Rattus norvegicus: one gene and its partners. The protein of the gene in region 2 interacts with the protein of the main gene of each other region in a pairwise test. Links are inferred from orthologs where the notes say so. Each region holds a gene or a part of one and is shown on either strand. Other genes may lie near its edges. The genes, in order: Lims1, Rbbp8, Rbl2 and Pin1.

Region 1 (4,360 bases), on a different chromosome or scaffold from region 2:
AGCAGTTAAAGAACTAAGATATTTCAGGGCTAGAAATACAGTGGTGCAGTGCTTCCCTTACATAAAACCATGGGTTTGACCTCTGCAGAAACCCATGAAAAACAGGCGAGACTGTCTTTAATTCCAGCATTCAAGAGGAGGATGAGAAACTCAAAACCAACCTTGGCTGCCTTAGTTTAGATCCCTGGTTACTTTATGTTCTTGGTTACTATGGCTACATAGCAAGTTCAAGGCTGGCCTAGACTATGAGACCCAGTCTCAAAACAAAACATCCCACCAGGCCTATTTCCCTCCTTCAGAAGCAGACAAAGGACACTGCAAATTTACAAAGACACTAAGTGCCACCAGAGTTTCCCTGTTCATGATGCAACTTCCCTACAGGAACTTTAGGACCAGGGTTGCTCTTCAAGTCTTAGTCAATAAGTCCTAAGAACCAAGTCAAAATCCTGCCTCAAAGAAAGAAAACAAACAAACAGATTGCCCAAGAATAAAAAAGACTATAGCTCTCATTCAAGAAATACTTTGGGGATTGAAGAGAGAGAGATGGCTCAGTGGGTGAGAAACACTAATCTTCCAGGAGACCCAAGTTCTATTCTTAGCAACTCACAACCACCTGTAACTCCAGACTCAAGGTCATCCTCTGGCCTATGTAGGTATATGCACATGCCCATATATATACATAACGTTAAAAAGAAAACCAGAAATACTTGGAAGGCCATGATAGTTTTACCAAATTCTTTACATAGAGGATAAGAATGTGAATTTCTCCTTTAAGTGTCTGTCCTTGATGAAATAAATAATACAGCCATTCTGGAAAAACATTCTGTTCATTTCTTAAAAAGCTAAACATAAAAATTACTATATAATCTGGTAAGTTCATATGCTTAGACATTTTTTATAGAAAGGTAAAACATGTCCACACTAAAACCTATTCATGAACAGCCACAGTAACTTTATTTTTAATTCCTAGAAGAAACCTGCCAATACCCCAAATATCTTTCAGGTACATCCATACTATGTATCTATGGCACATGAAAGGAAGACTGTGTAACTCCACTTATCTGGGGTACTAAAAAGTTAAAACAAGGGAGAAAAATGGTAGTTGCCAGGACCTGGGGGAACAAGGAACGAAGATCTGCTCAATGTGTACGACAGCTTCACTTTTGTAGCTGTCTGAGGGCAATGGCAATGGACCAATATGGATGTACTTAATGCATAAAAATGGGGACAGGGCACACATGGTGGTCAAGAAAACAGACAGGAGGATCACTGACAAACTGAAGGGCAGCCAAAGAGTGAGATTCTACACAGTGAGATTTGGGGTGAGGAGACAGGATCAGGGAAAGCCACCAGACCAGAAACATACTTGAGGGTCCTACAAAGACATCATTCTCTTGTAGTCTGAGATTATACTGTACATCCGTTCTTCTTTACAGCTCATTACCAATTCCCTCTCAACTAGACATTCCACACATCTTTCTTTTTCAGGTGAAAAATGTCCATGGTGAATACAATTGCTCATGTTGAGCACAGTGGTTATACAAACTCTTAACTCTTGGTCTTCTCTTCCTTGGTGCCTGGAACCCAGGGGTATGTGTGCATGCAGTGCTTCTGCTACATACCAAAGTAATCTATCTCAAGGAAAAGCACATGCTATGTTAAGCACTGTACTGAATTGGAAGCATTTTTCTTGAAGTAAGATTTGTTCAGCAAGAACAACAAAAAGACAACCACGGTGACTTAAGACTCACATTTAGGCAGACATTTCCTTGAAACTAAATCATGGGGACAACTGACAATATTTTGTTGACACTGAGAAAAGTTACGATTTCCACTGAAAATTGCAATGCTGGAAAATGAAGCATCTTGAGTTTAACAGCTTTGATGATGTTAACAAAAGTCATTGAAAGACATTAATACGATATATTAGCATCCAGAACCTTCCTTAATAGGGTAAGCCGATAAAACCCATTACAATGAGTAACAGTTCCATTCAAATACAAGACAGCCTGAGGAATTTTCATATAACTGTGAGCTCGGGTTTCATATCAAAACTAGCCTTAAAAAAGAAAAAAACACCTTTTGAACTTCTGGCTCTATCATAAAGAATACCCACAATTATTTGGGAAAGCTATTCGAATATTTCTCTTCACGCGGTCCATCTATTTAAAACCAAATTTCCTTTAAATAGTTCATTCAAAACACATCACAACAGACAATGCAAAAGGAGAACCCAGCTGCTTTTTTTTATTAAGCCAGACGTGGACAGGATCTGTAAAATATGTAACGGGCTATTCGTCTTAACTTTTCTGTTTAGGGTATACTATTTTCATTAAATTGCGTTATGTATGTTAATATATCACGTATTATTCAACGAATAAACATTTTACACGTCCGTGTTCATTTCTAATACAACAAATGTTAACAACAAATGAGTGATCCTAAGACCCTCTGTTTCGTTCTTCTAATCCGTAGAATGTATTTCACATTAAGATCCAAACTCTGGGACAGCATCTGCTCTCACACCCCTAGGCCGCACAGGACAGCTCAGCCGGACCACGAAGGCCTCTCCCGCCTCCGGCTAGGGCGGTGCGTGTCCGGGCCTCTGGCCAGCCGCAGGCCGCACGGCCGCGGGGAGGCAGAGATCGCCCGCCAGCCCGGCCCGGCCCAGAGTAGGCTCGGGCAGCGGCGGGTCGCAGAGCGCGCGCGCGCCCGTACCTGTTGGTCATTCCGGCCGCCACGCCCAGCATCTCCGCGGTCCACGCCGGGTCAGTCTGTGCCTCAGTGCCCGCCGCGGTGGCCGCACCCTCTTCCCTCGCTGCGGCGGCGAGCGGCAGATTTGAGGGCCGGTCCTAGGCAGGAAGGGGGCGGGACGAGGCGGCCCGCGGCCACTAGCCTGTAGTGGCCCGCAAATGGCGGCGTTGACCACGCCCCGAAGAGCGCCAGCCTGGGAGGCGTGGCTAAGGACCTCCAAAACCGGGCTGGGGCGGGGCGAAATTTTGAGAGGGCGTGGGACCGTGTGCTGGGGTGAAGTGTAGACTGGGGGGAGAGCCGGGAAAGGGGCGTGGCGAAGTCAAGGAGCAGCGGCTTGGAAGTGGAGCCTGGCGAGGACCCTCCAGCATTGGGCCGTTACAGGTCTTGGCCCCGCTCCTTAATTGTCATAGCTCCTCCTTCCTCCACTTAGTTCCACCCCCTTCTTCGGCCTGGCCCTAAGCCTGCTTTCTCCAAGTTTGGCTGTGGGTGCTGCTCCTGGCTCCAAGCAGGCAGAGAGGCTTCTGGGTGTTCCAGGGCTGGATGGCCACAGAGTCTAGCGGCCGGGAACACTTGGAAGGGCGTGATGGTCAAAGAACGAGTAAGAGTACCCGTGGCTTGAGGCTCTGACTCGACTCAACTTGGCGTTAGGCTACCTAATCGGTCTACAGAGCGTGGGTACAGGGTTCCACCCGACCTGCGACGGTCCTAAGGAGATTGTGCCAGTGAAGATGCCCTGCAAGTCAGTCTTCCAGGAATGGAGGTCTCATCTGGATTGGCCATTTCCAGTGGGAACTTCCTTGCTCTTGTTAGAATTTTGGCTGGCCTGCAAGATGGCTCAACAATTCAATCCCTGGTGGAAGGAGACAATCATCTCCAATTGTCCTTTGACTTCCAAACACGTATACACAATCAACCCAAAAGAAAAAATGTTGCCATTTTGGGATAGTTGGGTAAAAACTGGCTGCCTCTTGATTAGTGGTTTTTAGTTTCATCAGAGCAATGCCATTTGTGGAATGTGCTCTCAGAGCAATTCTACTTCTGTGGTTGACCAGTCAGCCACAAAGAAAGCTTAGAAAAGTATGGTTGTTCTAGAAAATGGGATTGAATTTCTTACTGCTCAGCTTGACAGTATCTCAGAATAAAAAAGGATGCCACCATCACAATTTCTTTAGTTTCGTTCTGTCTGTCAGCAATCAGCTTTTAAAAACAAAATTTGATATTTGGAAGTTTTTCACATAGGTGTGAATATGCACACCAGAAATACAAAGTACACACAAATTGAAAAAATGATGTGTATGAGTGCATTCATGTATGTCTACTTACCACCTATGCACCCTTCAGAGACTACAAGACAGTGTTGGAGACAGATCTGGGGTTACAGATGTTTGTGAGTTTCCCTGTCTGTGGGTGCTGGGAACTAAACTGAGATCCTCTGCAAGAGCACCAAACATGCTTCACTGCTGAGCTATTTCTTCAGCCCCACAAAGAATTATTGGAAGGAATATTCAAAATAAATAGTTAACTATGTATTTTTTTTCTGAGCTGTGCATAATGGTGCACACCTTTAATCCCAGCACTTGGGAGGCAGCAGCAAGTGGATGTCTAC
Region 2 (3,560 bases):
CTTTTTTTTTTTTTTCTTTTTTTCGGAGCTGGGGACCGAACCCAGGGCCTTGCGCTTCCTAGGCAAGCACTCTACCACTGAGCTAAATCCCCAACCCCAGAAAATTCAATCTTAAAGATGTTTTCTTACAATAAATATGGGAAGGAAACATGTTTTGGAGAAGGGGCATAAATGAACTGGCAAAATAAATTGTCTAAGCTTCAAGCAGCTCATACCCTAAGGGTCTGTCGCTCTGACTGCACTGAAAAGAGAGTGACAGTTTTGCTTTAGGCCTTTGTCCAATGATGATGGGCTCAAATGACTTCTTTCCTGCTCATTCTCACGAAGAGGGAGCCCTGGGTCTTCAGCACATCCCACCAGCCTGTGCCATCATAACCAGCTCCTCCTCAACTCTTTAAGAACAGATTTAAGTGGACATGTGAATTATTAACAATTCATAATTATCAAACTGAGTGAGTGCTTACAGATTCTTCTTGACCATCAAGTCCAAGCGTCTCAGCAACAACAGCATCTAAGTTAGAAGATAACTTGTCAGCGGGGTAACTGCTTGTTCCACATATTTCTAAAGAAGAAAAAAAAAACACAGACAATTTAAAAAAGATATAAAAAAATCACATAGAAGAAGAATCAATGCATGAAAATCACAAAGATTAGGAAAAAAATCAAGGTACCATTTTTAAGATGACAGTGGACACATTTTAAACTGTTCAAAAGGTCCAAAATGCTTTCTTATAAATAGCCATGTGTTAAGATATTTTAGCAGACAAATTATGAGACTTTTTCATTCATCTAAGTTTTCTACTTTTCCTTAAGTAACTTAGTACAACACTTCAGTTATACGTTGCTATAGTAAAAGGTAAAAAACAGAACTTTTGTTTTCTAAGGGAAAAACCAAACAGAATTTGCAGAAGCATGTAAAAAAAAAAACATAATAAAGGTTTAAATACATAAGGACCCTAAATCTGCTCGGGGAAATCAAGACAAACTATACAACTGGATGCCTAACATGACGATGCTGAAGGGAAAGGGAAGCCACCATTTAAGGACCGGGGGCAGAAAGCAAGGTTTTAGGTATCTTTAAGGACCCAGATAGATGGGACAAAATGGCTTTTCAGAGAACTGCGTATGATTTAATAGCTAGGCACCGACTTGTGGAAGATGAAAGCATAATATGAGCTCACGCCTGTTAACTAGGGGTCAGGGGTCAGATTATGCTGAAGAGTTCAGAATTTCTCCTGGGACCAAGGAAAAGGGACAAGAGTTTTGAAAGGCCAGACATAAATACTTGGGTAAAAGGATAATTCTGACTCTGACAGCCTCATAGCCAAGAACAAATCTAACAGGCAAGGAATGAAACAAAGTCCTAAAGCAGTCTTGAAGATGCTGGTGGCTAGAACAGTACAGAGGGCACAGAGAACACGTAGGGGAGTCAGGAGGCAGTGGATTAGTAGACTGGAGGACGTTTGAAATGAGGAGCAAGACCTCAGATGACTCGAGGCTGAGGAGGGAGTAACCTGTCTCCTGCTGGCCATTATTGTTAGTCCTCCTTTCCTACTAGAAGTTCTTCTTCTGGCTACTTAGATCTACTTCCTTTTAATAACCTCTAAATCACAACAGATACAGCTGCAACACTGTCAGTGTGTATGCGTATGTCTGTGTGTGTATGGGGCGGGGGCTTTAGGGGACTAACATGTCTTTCCCCTTTTATATAAAGTACAAATAACATAGAGTACACAAACAGATACAGTGTTTCTATAGTACTAACTCCATGGGGGCAATAACTAGGGTAGAAAATGTGTGAAATGATTTCTGGAAAGAGACAATAAATATCTCTGAAAACGGAGATAACGAAAAAAAATCACTGCTTAACAATGACAGAAGTAGGCTGGCCTCGGTACCTGAAACCTGTGCACCTACACTGATTTGTCCACCTACACTGACTTGCTTGGTTACCTCACGGTGTTAGGTAGTATGTTAACAACCTCCACACGTATCTCAGTACGCAAACCTTTCCTTCTAAAGAAGAACTTTATCTGAACATTTGTTTTGAATTTCAGACAATATTTTCAAAGCCAAACTTCTGAGTTTTAGCTTCTCCGAGTCCCTTCCATCTGTCAAGGGGCAGTTCTATTACCCCCACTGCCCAAATCTCTGCTGTCACCCATCCTGCTCTCACAGACTTCCATAGTGCTCCCCAAACAGACCAACTGACACTGGAGTTCCCTAGGACGGACACAGCTCCTGGACGCCACCCACTCCTTTTAGCCTCTGTTCTAGGGTCACTTTAGTAAGACTGTGTGTCCTTGCCATCTGTTGACTTCAGGTACTTGACTCTACAACATACATACAAACAAACATAAATTTGTTTTCTTCCTCCCATAATCAGACTAAAAGTTCCAAAAGAACAAATACTTCCTTTGTTCAGTGCCTGACATAGCAGAACCTTAAATACTTGTTTAATGAAGGGATAAAAGAAAAAAATCAAAAGTCTTTCTTACTTAATCATCAACATTTCACATAAGTTTAGATATTAACATGAATTAATATTGGCCTTAACATTACTTTCTCATATTAAACATATCTCTAAAACACTGGCTAACTGTGACTGTAGGTCTTGTTGCCTAGCAATAACCGCGACCGTACACTTATAACCACAGTGTTTACTTACTAGACAGTGGAGAATGACTCTGATCACAAGTGTCGGCTACTAGAATTTCATGTTCCTCAGAGTTAACTGGTGCAGGAGTTGAACCCTTGGAAAACTTTCTTAATTCTAAGGTGGGGGAGAAAGAGGATAAACAGTAAATAATGATAAAAAATGCTATCTAGCTTTATTCTGGTAAGTCAATGTAAATTTGTCTTTAACGCATAACCACCATTATTTTATAGACATAATTTGCATAATTCTTTAGTTCTACTGAGAAACCCAGCTATAGGCTAGGACAGTGGGAGAGAGGCCTGGAAACAGCTTGGTTGCTATGACCTGAGTTACCTCAGTAGTGACAGCTCGGTCACTTCTCATTGGGGACAAGGCACTAAGTTTACTAAAAATGTTACTGGCTCCTGTTTCTCTCTCTCTTTTTTTTTTTCGGAGCTGGGGACCGAACCCAGGGCCTTGCGCTTGCTAGGCAAGTGCTCTACCGCTGAGCTAAATCCCCAACCCCTCCTGTTTCTCTAAAATCTGTCCTGAAAGAAAACCAAAATGTGTTTTACTGGAAATCTCTACAGCTTAAATACTTAGTTCAAAGACAACCAAAGGATAAGGTAAAGGAACAGAATTATACTTTAATTATAACATGAAGATTAAAAAGTGCTTGACACTTTTAAGATAAGTAACTATGGTAAAGAAATTACCACTAGTTAAGTCATTAGGTCATTTAAAATTTTTTTTAGGTATTTCACTTTCTAAGTAAAAAAAAGAATAAAATTAAAATCAAGTTTTAAAGTCATATGCTTGTTTTTTACAATTAGAAAATAAGCCTTTATGGATACAAATAGCTACTAATAAAACCACAGCAGTTGTTCTCTGGATGTTCATAAGGATGAATTTAACCATGATA
Region 3 (4,299 bases), on a different chromosome or scaffold from region 2:
ATTCATATCGAAAGTGATATTTCTATGACGGCCCTTGCCCACGGCCTCTTCTAGTATGTGACATTGACATTCGTCCATGCATGGTACTGTCTCTGTTCCTTTACCTTGAAGCAGGGCAGAGTCTTATGCCCCTGTACATGATGGTCTTTATTAATACCACAGGTAAAAGTGATGCTATACAATCTCAAAGGTCACAGAAGGGAATGCTGATACCGACTGCCTTCATCTTTGAGGATGTCATAAACCAGCATACAAAGCGTGTGCCTCCCTTCAACTGACATGCTGAGAGAGAATATGGCAGTGGCCAGTTCTACACAGAGAGATGCCCAAGGAACCCTACCATACTGACACCCTTGTGACACAGTGCTTCTGGGTGAGACAACAGTCATTTTGATGCAGACAACATAGCACCTCCTTTGCACTGCCTGAATTCCCAAACTGTAGCATGATATCTACCCCAGCTTTCAGCAAGGATGTTAGGATCTAGGCTCAGGTCCACATGCTTGCATGGTATGTCACCCATCAAGTCCTCTCTCCTCCACTTAAGCACAGCTCTGAGCAATGGTTTCATACGGTGTTTGGTTTGGAGGACAGTTTTGGTTTTTGGTTTTTGGTTTTGGTACTGATGGGTATTAGAACTCAAGGCCTTACCACCAGACACAGTCCGCTACAGCACACCCTCAACCCCATGTTGTCACGATTTCCCCAATTATATGATTTCAAGGGAAACTGAGCTTTTCAACTACTGAGTTTTATTTCCATCAAGATCTGTTAGGAAGAATACAGGTAAGCAGTTAAATTGTCATCTTTGTTCTAAAAAAGGGGGGGGGGGCTTAAGGGAGATGAGAGAACCTATAACTAAATCATCCCCTGAAAAGGAAAAAAAAAAGTCTTATACATGAGGATGCTACAATGCAAGAGATAGGGGCTCAGGAAATACTCCAAAGTGAACAGATATTCATGCCAGTATAAGGTTGTTCGAGATGCACTGTGATAAACACCACAGCTAAAAGCAACTTGGGGACGAAAGGTTTATTTAGTTTACAGGTTACAGTCAGGAACTCCAGGCAGGAACCTGGAGGCAAGAGCTGAACTACGCAATGCTGCCTTCTGTGTACAGCCCAGGACCATGAGGGGTAGCATAGCCCACAGTGGGCGACATCACTTAGCAACTAAGAACATGGCCACAGGCATGCCCGCTGTCAATCTGAGGGAGACGATTCCTCAGTGAGGTCTCCCTCTTCCCAAGTGTGTCAAATTGACAACTGAAGTTATCACAAGGGTAAACTGGGCTAAGAATCAAGATTAAAACCTCACTAAACAAGCCAAATTAAAAAAAAATAAATAATAAACAAACAAATAAATGGAAAGCCTTGGCCAAACAAGAACTAGTGAATATGTTCTCAAAAATAATTTACTAATCCAGCAGGTTGAGCAAGTAAAGGTGCTAGGTGACAAACTGCAGATCTGATGGACCCCCCAGGATCCACCGGGGACACACACACACACACACACACACACACACACACACACACATTTACTAGGCATCTGTTAAATGTCAGTTGCATATGCGACACCAGGCTTCATATTGACTTCGTTTCTGTGAATTGAAGCCTCTGCTATGTTATAGTGCTTATTCTTGCTAATTTACAGTGCCCTCTCTAAGGTGAAGTAAGAGTTCGTTTGGGGGTCTCTATGTCCTTCAAGCCCGAAATTCCCCTCTTTGCCTGGTTCCAGGGAACACTAAGTCAGGAGGAAGGCGACAGCCTCTTCAGCCAGACGGCTTCAGTATATGCAATTATCTGCACGCATACACACATTGCTTTAGTTAAGCTTTAGGTCAGCACTTTGAGGTGGGCACAAATAACAAAACTGCTTACACAACCAAACTGAGTTTCACTGTGGTTGCAAACTTGCCCAGAGTCACTCAGATCTGGGTCTGAAGATGTCCTATTTCTTTTTTTTGTGGGTGTTAACAAATGGAGAGAGGGAAATTCAATGTGTGACGGTTTTTAAAAAATAGAAATAAACCAACTCAGAAGAACGGCACAAGTCCAGCCATCGTATTATAGTTAAATAACATCTTGTTTAGCCTTCGGATCGGGGGCCTCTTTGCCCCTCTCTTTCAGAAGCTATATATAAAAGCAAAGGGCCATCCGCACAGGCAGCGATAAACAATCCGGACTTCCGTGTCACTTCCCATTGGCCCACACAGGGGAGGTGCCTGCAGAGTTGACAGACACTGGCCCAAAGAGCCATTTTCGTCAACTGCAAGCCCCGTCCCAAGAACGGAACATAACAAGCCTACACCTGGATGACAGCCAAAAAGAGTGCCCGTGCTCAGCAACAAATGTTGTGTGTCTACACCCGCTTTTCATTGCCGGGGTTGGGGGGCAACAATCCTAAGCCGTTCTCACACGGAAGCAAGCCGGAAACTTAATGCGTCTCCTAAGACGGCTGCACAGCAATGGTGCGGTGCAAACGACCAAGTGACCCCAGAGCCACCCCGAGTCCCCGACTTCCGCGGAGGATCTGAGCACGCACCTCCAGCGTGTAGCTCTCGCTCATGCTGCGGTAGCTGCTCCAGGCCTCGGCGCGTGCCGCCTCGTCCATGTTAAGGCGGCTGCACAGCTCTTCGAACCGCTGTTGGATCTGATGGCTTGGGGACCCTGCGGGCTGCGCCCGGTCCGCGGTGTCGCCATCCTCCTCCTCTTCCTCTGAGCTGGCTGCAGCAGCAGGAGGGGGAGGTGACGACTGGTTGCCTCCAGATGCCATGGCACACCCGGAGGCCGCGGCTCTTCAGATGAGCTTAGGGCCCGGGCCCACAGCCATTCAAACCGCGAAGCGCCGGCCCGTCAGCAGCCCGTAATGCTACTGTGCCGCCCCCAGAGTTTCTAGGTCCCATGTGGGCACCCGTAGGTCTGAGCATGGCCTGCTGGGAAATGTAGTCTTGGCCGGGCTATCAGGGGAACCAAAAGTCATGGAAGAAGAAAGCAAAAATGCGCTGTTCTTCATTTAGGAGCGAGTGAACGCGCCCTCTCCCATTTTTTTTAAAGCCTCTCTCAATAGTGAGGCCATTCATAAGGTTCTTTTGAAGAGAAAAGGACCAAAAAATATCGACAGGAGAAGCTTTAGTATACAAGCTCTTTACAACACTTCCTCCTCCTAGAGGAGGAAGCTAAAAGGTCCAAAATAAAGATAATAGTTTGGCTGCCTTTTCTAGTTCACGTTACTGTTGCTGAGATAAACACTGACTGTAACCAGCTCGGAGGGGAAAGGACTTATTTCATATTAGTCTTTACAGTCCATCATTGAGGGAGGCTAACACAGGACGCTGCTTACTGGATAGTTCCCTCTTGCTTGATCAGCTACTTTCCTAATAAAACCCCTAGCCTCCACCTCCGCGGCTGCCCACCTGCCTAGGCAAGACCCACAGACCAACCCAACAGAGAGGATTCCTCAAGTGAGACTCCTATGTCAATACTATCTATGGCCAAGGTATAGTGAGCTAAGATTGATCTCACTAACCAAACTAAAGCAAAACAAAGAAACCCTCAACCAAACAATCATGAATGCGTTTTCAAGAATAACTGAAGATTTATATTAGCCATCATATAACCGCTCCTAGGTGAGGCAGAGGGTAAAGTTTACTATAGATAAAAGGAAGAGTGCAGAGCAGGAATGTTTAGGTGAGTCCACAGAGGACAAGACCCTGAGCCACATGACGGGGGAAGGGGATGAGAGGGGGAGGAGAGGGGAGAGAGGGGAGAGAGGAGAGAGAGGGGAGAGAGGGGAGAGAGGGGAGAGAGGGGAGAGAGGGGAGAGAGGGGAATCCGGTGCAGTAGTCAGGAGGCCCGAAGGAACAAAGAGCTAGAAACTAAAATGTCTGGATGATATAGGGAAAAGCAGGAGGCTGGCAAGGGTAACAGGTGGAGGTTGAGGGTTACAGGGAGAACCCAGCAGCCAGGTTCTCTTTGAGATGTTAGTCACCTCAGCCATTTGTCCCAGGTCTGAAATTTAACAGCACCCAAGGGGCTCAGCATCAGTGTTTGTGACTTGAGGTGTTAAAGCTACTGAATCTCTAACTAAGCTTAGATGTGAGGTGAATCCCTAAGAATTTGTTCTTGGAAAAGAAACTTTATTGCATGGGCTTGCCGGTGGAGAAGAGAATCTAGCAGAGATGAGCACATTTGATTGACAAGGGCTGGGGAGATTCTCGGTGGCAAAACATCTCTCACCAGAGATCAACCCTTATAAGTCACATATGTGTGTGCATGCATGTGTGTGTGCGTGTGCGTG
Region 4 (4,232 bases), on a different chromosome or scaffold from region 2:
TGACAACTTTAGTTTGACCTTCAGAACCCCATGGTGGAAGGAGAGAACAGATTGCCACAAATTGTCCTCTTGATTACACAGCTTTCATGGCGGTATCCCTTATAAATGTAATAGTTTTTTAAAGTGATTTTTTAAAAATTCTTGAAACAGGGATTCTCTGTGTAGCTCTGGCTGTCCTGGAACTCACTTTGTACACCAGGCTGGCCTCAAGCTCAGAGATCTGATTGCCTCTGCCTCCTAAGTGTAGGATTAAAGGCGTTTGCCACCAGCACTAGGCATAAAGTAACATTTTAAAATTCTTATATATATGAATTGCCTGCATGTATGTATGAATGTGTACCACATGCAGGTCTGGTGAATTGAAAGGTCTAATGGAAGGGCAGCTAGTGCTTTAACCACTGAGCCATCTCTCTAGCTGTCTTTTTTTTTTTTTTTTTTTTTTGATTCGTTCATTCGTTTGTTGAGACAAGTTTCCTGTGTAGCCTTAGCTGTGCTGAAATTCACTTTGTAGAGCAGGCTGGTCTCGAACTCAGAACTGCCTGCCTTTGCCTCCTGAGTACTAGGATTGAAGGTATACATTAACACACCGTTTTCCTCAGACTACCAGTTGACTAAAACCGGTCGTTGGAGCCGCCCACCCTCTCCTACCCCCTTTCCTCGGTCTAGTGGTAATGCTCTCACCCATCAGTCACCTGCCTAGAAGTCAGGAGGAGCCCATGGAGAAGGAATAAGTCGAAGTAGGTTCTAAAAAAGACATGGAAAGTGGGTGAATAAACCAGTGAAATGGTTCGCCTTGCAAAAACCGAAAAGGACTGGTTTCGCTTTGGACATCTGGAGGAAAAGGTGGGAAGAAGAACTCAAAAGCCAAATTTAGGCTCTGAATAGTTAGCCTTTTGTCACCAAGGCAACTGCATTGCTATGGCAACGGCAAAGTACAGCAAAAGCACCCATGTACCTTAGTTCCAGCTGGCCACTTCCGCGTGGATTCTGGCGGACCTCCGAGAAAGGCTTGAGAAGGCCGGATTGGCTGCCGCAGGAGCCAGTCAAATAAGCACTATTTTATCGGCTAAGCGCACCAAAAAGGGTGGAGCGCCCTTTTGACGCTTAAAGGGAGCCGCTTGCCGGGTTGGAGCATCCAATAGACGTAGCTTCCAGACGAGCCAATCAGTAGCGGTGTTGGGAAGGTGAGGGTAGTGGGTGGAGGGTGTGTGTAGGGGTGGTCCAGGAGGCCGCGGGAGAGCCCAATAAAAGGCTCGAGAGCTCGAGGCGTTGTGCTGCCGTCCAATTGGCGTCTCGATTGGATGAGCCAATCAACAGCGGCGCTGGTCTGGCGCGGGGTCAGAGCCGCGGAGGCGGAGCAGGCGCTGCGGCAGGAGGGAAGATGGCGGACGAGGAGAAGCTGCCGTCCGGGTGGGAGAAGCGTATGAGTCGCAGCTCAGGTACCTCTTAGGGGTCGCCCAGGGCCCGGGGCGAGGCCTGGAGGTTGCGGAAGTTGGGCTTGAGCTCGCCTGCACAGGCGAGTCGCATCACCGTCCTGCTTCGGGCATGGAGATCTGGCCTCCTCCGCGGCATAACGGGCCCGGAAAGCCAGATACTGAGGTAGGAGGTGGGGCAGGCACAGGCGCGCCCCGGTTCTCGCCCACCACTGGGCCCCGGTGCTCTGAGGCGACGAGTCTGCACCTCGGAGTTCCCTTGAGAGGAAGATCGGGATTCGGTGCAGAGGGCGTGGGCCGCCCTGCTCTGGTTTCTCGGGCAGCATCCGAGACACGTGCCCGCTCATCCCCCTATCGGGACCCAGGGACAGTGATGGCTCCTAACCAGGACAGTTCGTCTCTGGGTCAAGCATGGTGCCAAACTCTTTGAAAGACTTCAGTTCTTTTACAAGTCTACGCCGGTGTGTGCTCCCGCTTCCCCTCCCCCTCTCCCTCCTGCCTTCTCTCACTCTCTCCTTCCACCCCTCCCTCTCTCTCCCACCCACCTCTCCACTCTTCCTCTTCCTCCTATCCCCACCTCCACCTCTGTTCCTCCATCTCCCTCTCCCTCCTCCCTCGCTCCCTCTCTTTTCTTGGTTCATGCTCTCCTCCCCCCCACACCCCGGTTGCTACCATCTTTCAAGAAAGGAATTGCTCTCATATTTCAAGAGGGAGAAACTGAGGCCAGACATGGAAAGAACTCATCTGATAATGCAGTTCAGTCACTGGGAATGCCCTAGATTGCAATGATTTTTTTTTTTTTTTGATCTCAAATGTCCCCTTCCCAGTGTCAGTGGCAACGCCTAGAGTAGCCTACAAGCATTTCAGGTAGCCAGGGTCAATGCAACCTACAGAGCTCACTCAAAATTCTTAGTTATTAAGCATCAAGGTTCTGGACACTGCATATGTTAACTCTCTGAACCCAGCTAGGTTTAATGTCATTCACTTTCCACCTTTTTATCAAGAGTGGATGTGGAAAGGCATTAGACAGAGCCTCATAAAGACAGGTTACTCTTGAATTCCTGATCCCCCTGCTTCAGCTCCCCCAAGTGCTGAGATTACAGGCATGCACCACTTTGCCCAATTTATTTATTGAAACAATCTTTACTAATAATATTAGTAATACTGTATTTAATGTATGTGCATGTGAAGGTCAGACAATCTTAACTTGCAAGAGTTTTCTTCCTTCTACCATGAGTAGATTGTGAACTCCGTCAGATTTGGCTGCAAGCACTTACCCATTGAGCCATTTTCCTTTCTAAGATGTGTGTGTTTGTGTGTGTGTGAGAGAGAGAGAGAGAGAGAGAGAGAGAGAGAGAGAGAGAGAGAGAGAGAGAAAGAAAGAAAGAAAGAGTGCGCAAGAGCGAGCATGAGCGCTCAGACGATACTTATCCAAGGATGACCTTGAACCTCTGGTGTTCTGCTGGGATTACATCACACAGAGGTAAAGTCTTGCTGTGTAGCCCAAGCTTGCTTCCAACTCATGATCCTTGTGCTTCAGCCTCTCACGCACTGGGACTAAAGTTATAAGCCTTTATGCTCTGATGTCCTTATTCTCTTGTCCCAGTCTACAGATGAGAAAGCTGAGGTTCAGGGAAGGTGACCTGACAAAGGTTTTAGTTGGATTTATCCCCAGAGGCTTTGGGCTGCTCCATTCCTAGGGTGGGGTTGTGACCTCTAGCATAAACTTGTCTCTAACTGGGTGTGGTGGCACACAGCTGTATTTCCAGCACTTAGGCAGAAGCAGGAGGAGATCTGGTTCATGGTTGTCCTGGGCTACGTACACTTTTTTAAAAAATACATGTATGGGTATTAGGCTTGCATGTGTATTCCATATGCATGCAGTGCCCACCAAGAAGCCTGAAGAGACAGTTGTGAGCCTCCACATGGGTACTGGAAATTGAACTCCAGTCCAATAGAGGAGCAGATGGTGCTGTTAATCTCCGGGCCATCTATCCAGCCCCCATAGTGAAACTCTTTTACACACACACACCCCTATACCTGCCCCTCTGCTTAGTTATGCTTGTCATTTGTTCTCAGTAGGACTATGAAAAGCCCTTCCTTCATGGGTAACATCCAGCTCTTCTCCTATGCTAGATCAGCTGTGTAACCCAGGTAGACTCAGCCCTTGGAGTGACCCAGAATCTACTGGGTCCTTCCTTCAGGCTTCTGCCATACCCCTTCCTCCTCTTTTACCTTTCACTTTTTTGAGTCCGTCTTGCAAACTTACTTTTACTGGCTTCAATCTGCAGACATCCATCCTCTTGCCTCAGCCTCCCTAGTGCTAGGCAAACAGCATGTTCCACTAAGCCAGAGTTTTCCCTTGAGGTTTTGATTTTCCATCTGTCTCCTTTATGCCCTCACAGCCACTCAGATGACATCAGGCCCTGAGTAATGCTACCCCTTGCTCTCTGACTTAGGCTACCAGTGCAGGGGTTAAGACTGGAGCTTTGAGGGCTGGGGATTTAGCTCAGTGGTAGAGCGCTTACCTAGGAAGCACAAGGCCCTGGGTTCGGTCCCCAGCTCCGAAAAAAAAGAACCAAAAAAAAAAAAAAAAAAAAAAAAAGACTGGAGCTTTGGAGTAACTTTCTCTGTTTATGCACAAGACACAACTGCTGCTGCTGTGAGCAGAGGAGGGGGAGGTGCTGCCTGGGTTTTTGTGGAACGAAGCAATGGGTAAAAACAGTTATACTCTACCTTTTGGTGATATGTGATCCTGGGACTTGAACCTAGAACCTCACAATGCCATGCAAGCACTGA

The links.
Region 1: the proteins of Rbbp8 (region 2) and Lims1 interact in a two-hybrid assay, tested with the Homo sapiens proteins (2 studies listed by BioGRID and IntAct). The two-hybrid records come from large-scale screens. The link is inferred for Rattus norvegicus from reciprocal best matches to the Homo sapiens genes RBBP8 and LIMS1.
Region 3: the proteins of Rbbp8 (region 2) and Rbl2 interact in binary tests that used the Homo sapiens proteins (3 or more experiments, as listed by UniProt). The link is inferred for Rattus norvegicus from reciprocal best matches to the Homo sapiens genes RBBP8 and RBL2.
Region 4: the proteins of Rbbp8 (region 2) and Pin1 interact in binary tests that used the Homo sapiens proteins (3 or more experiments, as listed by UniProt). The two-hybrid records come from large-scale screens. The link is inferred for Rattus norvegicus from reciprocal best matches to the Homo sapiens genes RBBP8 and PIN1.

What each region holds. Positions count from the first base shown.
Region 1 is NC_086038.1:26,851,464-26,855,823, reverse strand, and holds the start of Lims1 (LIM and senescent cell antigen-like-containing domain protein 1), read right to left. Parts: upstream 2,815-4,360; 5' UTR 2,751-2,814; coding exon 2,719-2,750; intron 1-2,718. UniProt on the Homo sapiens protein: Within the IPP (ILK-PINCH-PARVIN) complex, binds to F-actin, promoting F-actin bundling, a process required to generate force for actin cytoskeleton reorganization and subsequent dynamic cell adhesion events such as cell spreading and migration.
Region 2 is NC_086036.1:3,236,476-3,240,035, reverse strand, and holds part of Rbbp8 (DNA endonuclease RBBP8), read right to left. Parts: intron 2,774-3,560; coding exon 2,669-2,773; intron 563-2,668; coding exon 465-562; intron 1-464. UniProt on the Homo sapiens protein: Endonuclease that cooperates with the MRE11-RAD50-NBN (MRN) complex in DNA-end resection, the first step of double-strand break (DSB) repair through the homologous recombination (HR) pathway.
Region 3 is NC_086037.1:32,093,571-32,097,869, forward strand, and holds the start of Rbl2 (retinoblastoma-like protein 2), read right to left. Parts: upstream 2,842-4,299; 5' UTR 2,776-2,841; coding exon 2,545-2,775; intron 1-2,544. UniProt on the Homo sapiens protein: Key regulator of entry into cell division. Directly involved in heterochromatin formation by maintaining overall chromatin structure and, in particular, that of constitutive heterochromatin by stabilizing histone methylation.
Region 4 is NC_086026.1:27,464,267-27,468,498, forward strand, and holds the start of Pin1 (peptidyl-prolyl cis-trans isomerase NIMA-interacting 1), read left to right. Parts: upstream 1-1,375; 5' UTR 1,376-1,381; coding exon 1,382-1,439; intron 1,440-4,232. UniProt on the Homo sapiens protein: Peptidyl-prolyl cis/trans isomerase (PPIase) that binds to and isomerizes specific phosphorylated Ser/Thr-Pro (pSer/Thr-Pro) motifs.